Canis lupus familiaris: one gene and its partner. The protein of the gene in region 1 purifies or fractionates together with the protein of each later gene. This does not show direct contact. Links are inferred from orthologs where the notes say so. Each region holds a gene or a part of one and is shown in the gene's direction. Other genes may lie near its edges.

What was found. Proteins that work in one complex are often made in the same cells at the same time.
Region 2: the proteins of RIC8A (region 1) and GNAI3 purify together in Homo sapiens (affinity purification with mass spectrometry; 3 studies listed by BioGRID and IntAct, counting the BioPlex papers as one, with this or other methods). This does not show direct contact. The link is inferred for Canis lupus familiaris from reciprocal best matches to the Homo sapiens genes RIC8A and GNAI3.

What each region holds. Positions count from the first base shown.
Region 1 is NC_049239.1:25,714,060-25,718,013, forward strand, and holds the start of RIC8A (synembryn-A), read left to right. Parts: upstream 1-1,154; 5' UTR 1,155-1,264; coding exon 1,265-1,348; intron 1,349-1,560; coding exon 1,561-1,608; intron 1,609-1,693; coding exon 1,694-2,281; intron 2,282-2,723; coding exon 2,724-2,815; intron 2,816-3,337; coding exon 3,338-3,488; intron 3,489-3,954.
Region 2 is NC_049227.1:42,768,914-42,772,986, reverse strand, and holds the start of GNAI3 (guanine nucleotide-binding protein G(i) subunit alpha), read left to right. Parts: upstream 1-1,273; 5' UTR 1,274-1,414; coding exon 1,415-1,532; intron 1,533-1,749; exon of another isoform or gene 1,750-1,820; intron 1,821-4,073. UniProt on the Homo sapiens protein: Heterotrimeric guanine nucleotide-binding proteins (G proteins) function as transducers downstream of G protein-coupled receptors (GPCRs) in numerous signaling cascades.

The sequences.
Region 1 (3,954 bases):
CCGTCCCCGGCCCCGCCCCGCCAGCGGCCCAGCCACCGCCTCAGCGGACGTGGCGCAACCGGGGAGGACCGGGACCCCGCCGCTTCCGCTCTGCCCGCCGACTTCCGGCCGACGTCCGGCCGACTTCCGGACTAGGGGGGCGGGCCTTAAGTGCCGAGGACGCGTGACAGACGCCGCCAGCGGCCAATGGCGCGGAGGGCGGGGCCGGGTCCCGCTCCGGGCGTCCCCGCTTTCCCCCGCGGGCCTGGCTGCTGGGGTCGCCGCGGGTCCCCGCCCCAGGCGTTGCCGAGGGGACGCGGTGGAGGCCAGGGCCTGGAAGACGCAAGGGTGACGCACTCCGAAGGGAAGCGAAGCCAGACGGGGGCCGGGAGTGTGGGGGCAGCAGAGGCCGTAGCGGCCGGTGCCTCTTGCCTTGGTCCCGGCGCCGCGGGAACGGAGGCGGCCCACAAAGGCTGGCTGCACGGCGGGCACCGCTGCGACCACACACACGGGAGAGGGAGCTCAGTCCAGGCCACACACCTGGGACGTGGCTGCCGGTGATCCTGACCCTCCCCGCCCTCCCCTGGAGCTCAGGGACATGTTTGCGTCCCCGCCGCGGCCACCGAACGACCTTCCCCCGGATCCCTTCTTATCGTCCGGCCTCAGCAGAAATGCTACTTCCGCACATCCCTTTGCAGCCCACTTTATTCGCCACAGCGCTGAGACCGCTGCCCGTGGCTCCTTGCCCTCACGTGCGAGCTCACGCTCCCAGAGGGCCGGGAACCAGCGGTCGGCGGGTCCCGGGGCCGCAAAGTCCTTCCCACTTCGCTTTTCCCCCGGACTTGCACTGGTGCTAGGCATCTAGGGGGGCGTGCGTGGGAAGGTGAGTGGGTCCCCGTTAGCTTCGGAGGCCGCTCAGCTCCGAGGTCGAAAAATCACCTAGTAGGACCTTTGAAACTCGCGCTCACTCCCCGGCAAAACACTCAAGTCCCAGCCAGCTGATCCAGGTCTCGCCCCCTTAATGAACCTACAGCCCTGGCCCCGCCCCGCGGCGCGCGCTCCCAGTCCCGGCATGCCGCGCGCGCAGCCCTGGCCCCGCCCCGCGCGCTCCCAGTCCCGGCCTGCCCCGCGCGCAGCCCTGGCCCCGCCCCGCCCCGCCCCGCCCCGCGCGCTCCCAGTCCCGGCCTGCCCCGCGCGCCCAGTCGGGGCGGAGCGGCGGAACTCCGCCCGGAGCCGGGAAGCAGCTCCCCTTCCCGCCGGCTCGGCGCGGGATCCCGGAGGCGCCATGGATCCCCGGGTGGTTGCGGATGCCGTGGAAGCGGGCGAGGAGGACGTGATCATGGAGGCTCTGCGCACGTACAACCGGGAGGTGAGCGCGAGCCGTGAACGTGCTTGCACGGAAGAGGTGGGCCGGGCGGGGCTCGCGTGTGCGGACCCGGGCCTGCGGGCTGCGGGCGGCGGGCGGCGGGCGGCGCGCGGCGGAGGGGCCGGGGTCTGCGCGCACCTTGGGGGACGGGGAGAGGCGGGGGGGGTGCGGGCGCCCGCGGCGGCCGAGCCCGCTGAGCCTCCCCGTCTCTGCAGAACTCCCAGAGCTTCACGTTTGACGACGCCCAGCAGGAGGACCGGAAGGTGGGTGCGGACCGAGGGCAGGGGGCGGGGGCGCGTGGCCCCGGGGTAGGGGGCCTGCTGGAGCCGCTCTTCTTCCCGCCCACAGAGGCTGGCGGAGCTGCTGGTCTCGGTCCTGGAGCAGGGCTTGCCACCCCCCCGCCGCGTCACCTGGCTGCAGAGCATCCGCATCCTGTCCAGGGACCGAAGCTGCCTGGACCCTTTCACCAGCCGCCAGAGCCTGCAGGCCCTTGCCTGCTATGCCGGCATCGCCTTGGAGGGGTCTGGCCCGGAGCCTCTGGACATGGACGTTGTCCTCGAGTCCCTGAAGTGCCTGTGCAACCTCGTGCTGAGCAGCCCGGTGGCACAGGTGCTGGCAGCAGAGGCCCGCCTGGTGGTGAGGCTCGCAGAGCGCGTGGGGCTGTATCGCAAGAGTAGCTTTCCACACGACATCCAGTTCTTTGATCTGCGCCTCCTCTTCTTGCTCACGGCACTTCGCACTGACGTTAGGCAGCAGCTGTTTCAGGAATTGCGGGGAGTGCACCTGCTGACTGATGCGCTGGAGCTGACCCTGGGAATGAGCCCTGACGAGAACCCCCCGGAGCTTCTTCCTCCCCAGGAGACCGAGCGGGCCATGGAGATCCTCAAAGTGCTCTTCAATATCACCTTCGACTCCATCAAGAGGGAGGTAGACGAGGTGAGGACTGACTTGAGCCCACAGGTAGGGCTTAACGGTGTGGACACTTGCTGGCTCTGTTTGCCTATAGCGAACTCGTAGGTTCCAGGTATCAGACGGGGAGAGGACGGGAAGAGCTCTCAGCCTATTGGGAGGAGGCAGGGAGCTGTACATCATGTACAGGGGCCTTCAGAGACTGTCTGAGAAAGGCAGAGGGCATACCTGGCACTTGCAGCCTGGTAGGAGGGCTGTTTGGTACATGGAGAGGTCACGAGCAGGACACTAGAGTAGGTTGTGATTTTTATCCCAGGAAGACCTGGTAATGGTCTTGGTTAAGGAAATGCTTTCAAGGCTACGTGGGGGAGGACGAGGGGTTGGGCACACAGTAGAGAAAATGCATAGTCCGTGCATGTGATCCCAGAGTGGGGCCTCCTCTCACAGGAACCCCTTTCTTTTTGGTCAGGAAGATGCGGCCCTTTATCGGCACCTGGGGACCATTCTGCGGCACTGTGTGATGGTCGCTGCTGCTGGAGACCGCACAGAGGAGTTCCACGGGTGAGGGTGGGGCCCGTTCAATGGAAGGGAAGTGTGCTCAGGGGTCTAGACAGTAGTTCTCACCCTGGCTGTCGGCTAGGCTTCCCCCTGGAGAGGCTTCACCTACAGGGGTGGGATTTCCATCAGTGTGTGTCTATGGTAAGGGGCTAGGACAAGAGAAACGAATCCAAGAACGGTATCTGTGTCTGCAGTGGAGTTAGTAGTAACCAACCACGTGGTAGTTAGCGAGTAACTGCTGAGTTCTGTTTCGGCGACTTGTGCCTGGGCAGGTTCTGGCGCTCCAGAGATTGTCCGCGGGGCTTCAACCCAGACGGAGCGTGCCCCCTTTCTTAGGAACTCACCCCACCGACTATGTGGGAACATCTCTAGGGTCAGTCTCACCCTCAGTACCGGCCCCTGGTTCTGGTCATCAAATCCCTAGATGCTAGTTCAAGTCACATGCGGCCTCTTTAGGGGGCAGCAAGGCTTGTACTTATGCTGGGGGGTCGGACCTATCAAGCCCTCCTCCTGATCTGTCCTCAGCCACACAGTGAATCTCCTGGGGAACTTGCCCCTCAAGTGTCTGGACGTCCTCCTTACCCTGGAGCCACACAAAGGCTCCCTGGAGTTCCTGGGAGCGAACATGGATGTGATTCACGTCCTTCTCAGCTTCCTGGAGAAGCGTCTGCACCAGGTGGGCAGAGGGACCTGACCTGTGGGGTCCTCAGTGGCTCTGACTTTCCCAAGCAGCCTTGATCACTGCTTTTTTTACGGTCACACTGGTAAGCAGAGTGTGATTCAGGCCATTTCTCCAGCTGCTTCGTGGTCCAGTTTGGCAGAAAACCAGATTCTACCTCCCTCAGAAACACGTGGCCCCTCTCACACGCACACACTTGAAGGTTTTACCTGTGCTGGTTATCTTGACGGGTTTTCAGAGTCAACAGCGGAGTTTGTGTCTTAGAGCTGTTTGTGGCTGTCTCTAGAATCCTTGCCTGTGCCGTCAGAGCACTAGCATTGCTGTGTGCAGGCAGCCCTCGGGACGAGTGACACTTGTCTCTTGGCATCCCTTGGGGAACCCACCACCACCTCGAGCCAGAGGCTGCCTGGTTCCCATGCCTGCACACAGGACGTTGGCCAGCTAGACCTCCAACCAGCCCCTC
Region 2 (4,073 bases), on another chromosome or scaffold:
TGAAAAAAAATGGGGGTGATATTACCTACCTCCCAGGTTGTTGTGAGGGTTAAGAGATGAGCACGTGGAAGCACCTAGCCATACCTGGCAAATAGGTGCTCCATAAATACTGGATTTTCTTCCCTTTCTTCTTGCCCTCCTCTCCCATAAGTACCGATTACGGGAAAGCCATCATTCTTATTGTAACAGTCATTTGGGAATGAGTAGGAGTCTCTTCAAACTTTGAAGGACTGGCATTACTAAATTATAGGGGATGAAGTTGTTTAAGGTGGCTCTCAAGAAATCCCTCTAATGAATGAATCATCGCCATATAGACCTTTCTGTTTGGATCTTATACGCTAAGGTTGAGATTCTATTAGGGAAATAATTTTTAATCCCAGGCAAAGGTTTGGGGGACCACAAGAGTTCTCATCTCTAGAATGTAGGGTGGAGGGTATTTGTGCAGCTATTTAGCCATCAAGGTAATTCAGAGTCACTTTGAAGGTAGTACTCAGAACTAGGAGTGAAAAGTCGAGGGCTTTCATAGAGGTTTGTTTTCAGGTGACGCAGGAGCTGAAAGACAAATCTACCAGAACTTCCCTTTTTGTGTGGTACTACAACAGGAGATTTCAGCGGGGAGATTGACAGGATGCGCTGGTGTGTTTTGGGGCGTGGGCCTGAGGTTAACTGATTTTGGTAGGAGTCCGAGGCGCCTAACGCAGGATCCTCTCTATCCGCGCCCAACTGGCTCACACTGGAGAGACGTGGCGCGGGCACCGCGCAAGCCGCAGGTAGCAGCACAAGCACCGGATCGTCCAGGAGGGCGGTCCCACCGGGGCAGCGGCGGGCCCCGGGGGGGCGCAGGCGCGGGGGGTAGGGTGCGCGGCGAGCTCCCACCGCGGCCGGGCCGACACAGCTCGACAGGGCACCCTCGGGAGGGCGCTCGGGCTCCCCACAGCCTGGGGCCACAGGGGCTTCCAGGCCGGGGAGAAGCCCTCAGCAGGAACTTCCGTGCGGGGAGCGGACTCTTCCTGGGAACTCCGCCGCCCTCCAAGGCCGGCTGGGACTCAGGAGGGCGCCACGAACTGGGGAAGCCAGTCCCTGGTTCTTCTACATTTATCCAAATAAAGCAGCCGAGAAGGAGAAGAAGCTGTAAGCCTAGCGGCGTCCCCGGGGCTGGCCGACGCCTCGCCCGCCGGGCACCGCACTTCCGCCTTCGATCGCTCCTCCTCGGCCCCAGCGGGAGACGCGGAGCAGTCACCGCCGTGGGGCGTCGCCGGAAGTGTCGTACGCGCCGGATATCCGGTTGCTTCGGGCGCTCAAGGAGCTGACGGAGAGGGCCGCCGCCCAGCAGTAGACGCCGTCTGCGCCCGCCGAGCCGCAGTCTCTGCGGTGTGTGAGTGAGCCCGGCCTCGGTCCCTCTCCCGCCGCCGCCATGGGCTGCACGTTGAGCGCCGAGGACAAGGCGGCGGTGGAGCGGAGCAAGATGATCGACCGCAACTTGCGGGAGGACGGGGAGAAAGCGGCCAAAGAAGTGAAGCTGCTGCTCCTTGGTGAGGGGCTGAGGGCGGGGCTGGCGGAGCCGGCGGGGGGGCGGGAGGCCCCGGCGCTCGGCAGCCCTGAGGGGGGAGGCCCGGCCGGCTGGAAGGACCCCGGAGGGATCTGGGGGCGTGACGGCCGTGGGGCGGGAGGCCCGGCGGGCGCGAGGAAGGGGTGGGGTTTGGGGTTGTAGGAATAAGGCTGCGGGGAGGGCGTGACTCCGTGCTGGAGTCGGCGCTGGGCAGGAGGACGTGGAGGCTGTGTTGGGGACCCGGGAAAGACTCATGAAGGGAGAGCTGATGGTAGGGAAGGCTTTGCAGGGAGTTGGAGCGTGTTGATAGCGAAGAGGACGGGAGAGTGTGGGTGAGGCTCGTGTGATGGCTTAGGAGTTGGAGCGATACCTCGACCGGATGGAGTTGGGATGCGCGAATGAGTAATGTAAACAGGGTCTGAGACTGAGTGGAGGTGTAAGGACTCTCCTTTATTAGCACGTGGGCGTTTTCAACTATTGATAAGGCAGAGGAACCCTGGATTAACCAGGAGTGCGAAGGTGTGTGATTGGGATCCATGACACGTTCTTGGATACAAAGGAGAAGAGCTTGCGTGCACGGGCTGTGTATACTTTTTCACCGCCTTATGTCACTTTTACTCTCTGAAAGTTTTTGTAACTCCTCTTGTCTATATAAAGGGGGAGGTTTTGTGAGCCGAGGAAATTTAAGGACTGGCTGGTTTGAGGTTTGTGGTCAAAGATACAGTGGACAGTAGATTACATATTGGGAGTTGCTGAATAGTTGCTAGGGATGATGTGCAGTGGGAATGGAGTTATCTTAGGATAGATTATGGAATTGGACACACTATAAAAGCTGTGACAAACTTCTGGTGAGCTGTCTCTCCAAACTAAAAATATTGGCTTCAGAAATTACTGTTTTTTTTTTACCCCACATTCTTTATGAGCAGCTTTTAGGTACAGTCAGATGCGTTTTACTCAGCATGATTTTTTTTCAAAGATTTTATGTATTTATTCATGAGAGACACACACACAGAGAGGCAGAGACACAGGCAGAGGGAGAAGCAGGCTCCATTCAGGGAGCCCGACGTGGGACTCGATCCCAGAACCCCGGGATCACCGCCTGGGCCGAAGGCAGACGCTCAACCGGTGAGCCACCTGGGCGTCCCACTCAGCATGATTTTTAAGCATTTTTGAGACCAGTTTCTAGAGGCTCAGTAAGTCATATAAAGTACCCTGGCATCAGCTTACTAATTAGTTGTCACTGTTTCTTTACTATTAGTATTTTCTAAAGTTCTGTTAGAGAAGAATATGTAGGAGTAATAGTTTTTGTAAGCAACAAAGCGCCCCCCCCCCCTTTTTTTCTTTTTTAAAACAATTTTTGGGAAAAACAAGTCACGTTAGGAGAAGTGCCAAATTTTCATGGTGTAAAGCTCCAGAGGACAGAGTACACCACCATAACCCAAGGCTTATTTTGTACTCCGGGTTGTGCTGGGTGCCCATGCTAGTCTCTTCATGTTAGCATATTTAGTGGTTTGTAGATTGCAGAAGCCCTAGGAATAACTCTTTGGATATAGGAAGAAAGTTATGCATTGGAGCTTGAGCTTTTGGTTTGAATATCTAACGTGATATTCATAACACAAGAATTTGAATTGTAGTTCTAGACTGCCACTCTCTGTTTAACAAGTATCATTTGTGGATGAGCATGGTCCATGGCACATAGTAGGTGCTTCTTACATATTTACTAGCATGAACCACCTAATGTTGGACATTGCTCTTGGGGCTCTTTCGGATGCTTAATACAAACCATTATATAATACTCAAGGCATTAATGTCTGTATTGATTGATTGGTTATGAAATTAAAGGTGTATTTTCATTTTCTGTAAATGTTTTGAATTACATTGACCATCAGAGATCTCCTCAGGACATTAGCCTATTGTAGTACAGTTGTAAACTGTGAGGTTTTCTTCCAAATGGCAGGATTTGGCAGGGAGAATTTAGGCAAGCAAATGTCTGGAAAAAAATCTTTATTTGGGATTTTATAAATAGTGCATTTAATTAAAAACAAAATTAAACACATGACTTAGCGAACTTCAAAAACAGTAAGTAAAAATCAAAGTACTAAGACATTTGCTTTTAATTTTTATCAATTTCATTGTTTTAAGTAAGATTTTTTAATATTCTTGAGCAAGTCAACAAATATAAATAGTTGCAAACACAGATGCTCTTGCTTGAACCATATCATAATGCACAGAAGTTAAAGTTACCCCTTATTTTCAGTAAGCAGAACACACTCATCACAATATACAGATAACCTTTTTTTTTGCTATAGAATACGTCCTTTGATGTACATGCAAGTTTTTACTTCATCTCTGTGAACTAACCAACTTGTCTAAGTTGGGATGTATTTGGTTACCTTTGTCTCTCCTGGCACACAATAGGTGTATTGTATTTTCTCTTTTGGAGAGATGCAGTTTAGTATAGTGATTAACAAGGTGGACTATGAAGTCAGAGTGTTTCAAATTCTAATTAAATTAGTTAAGGAGG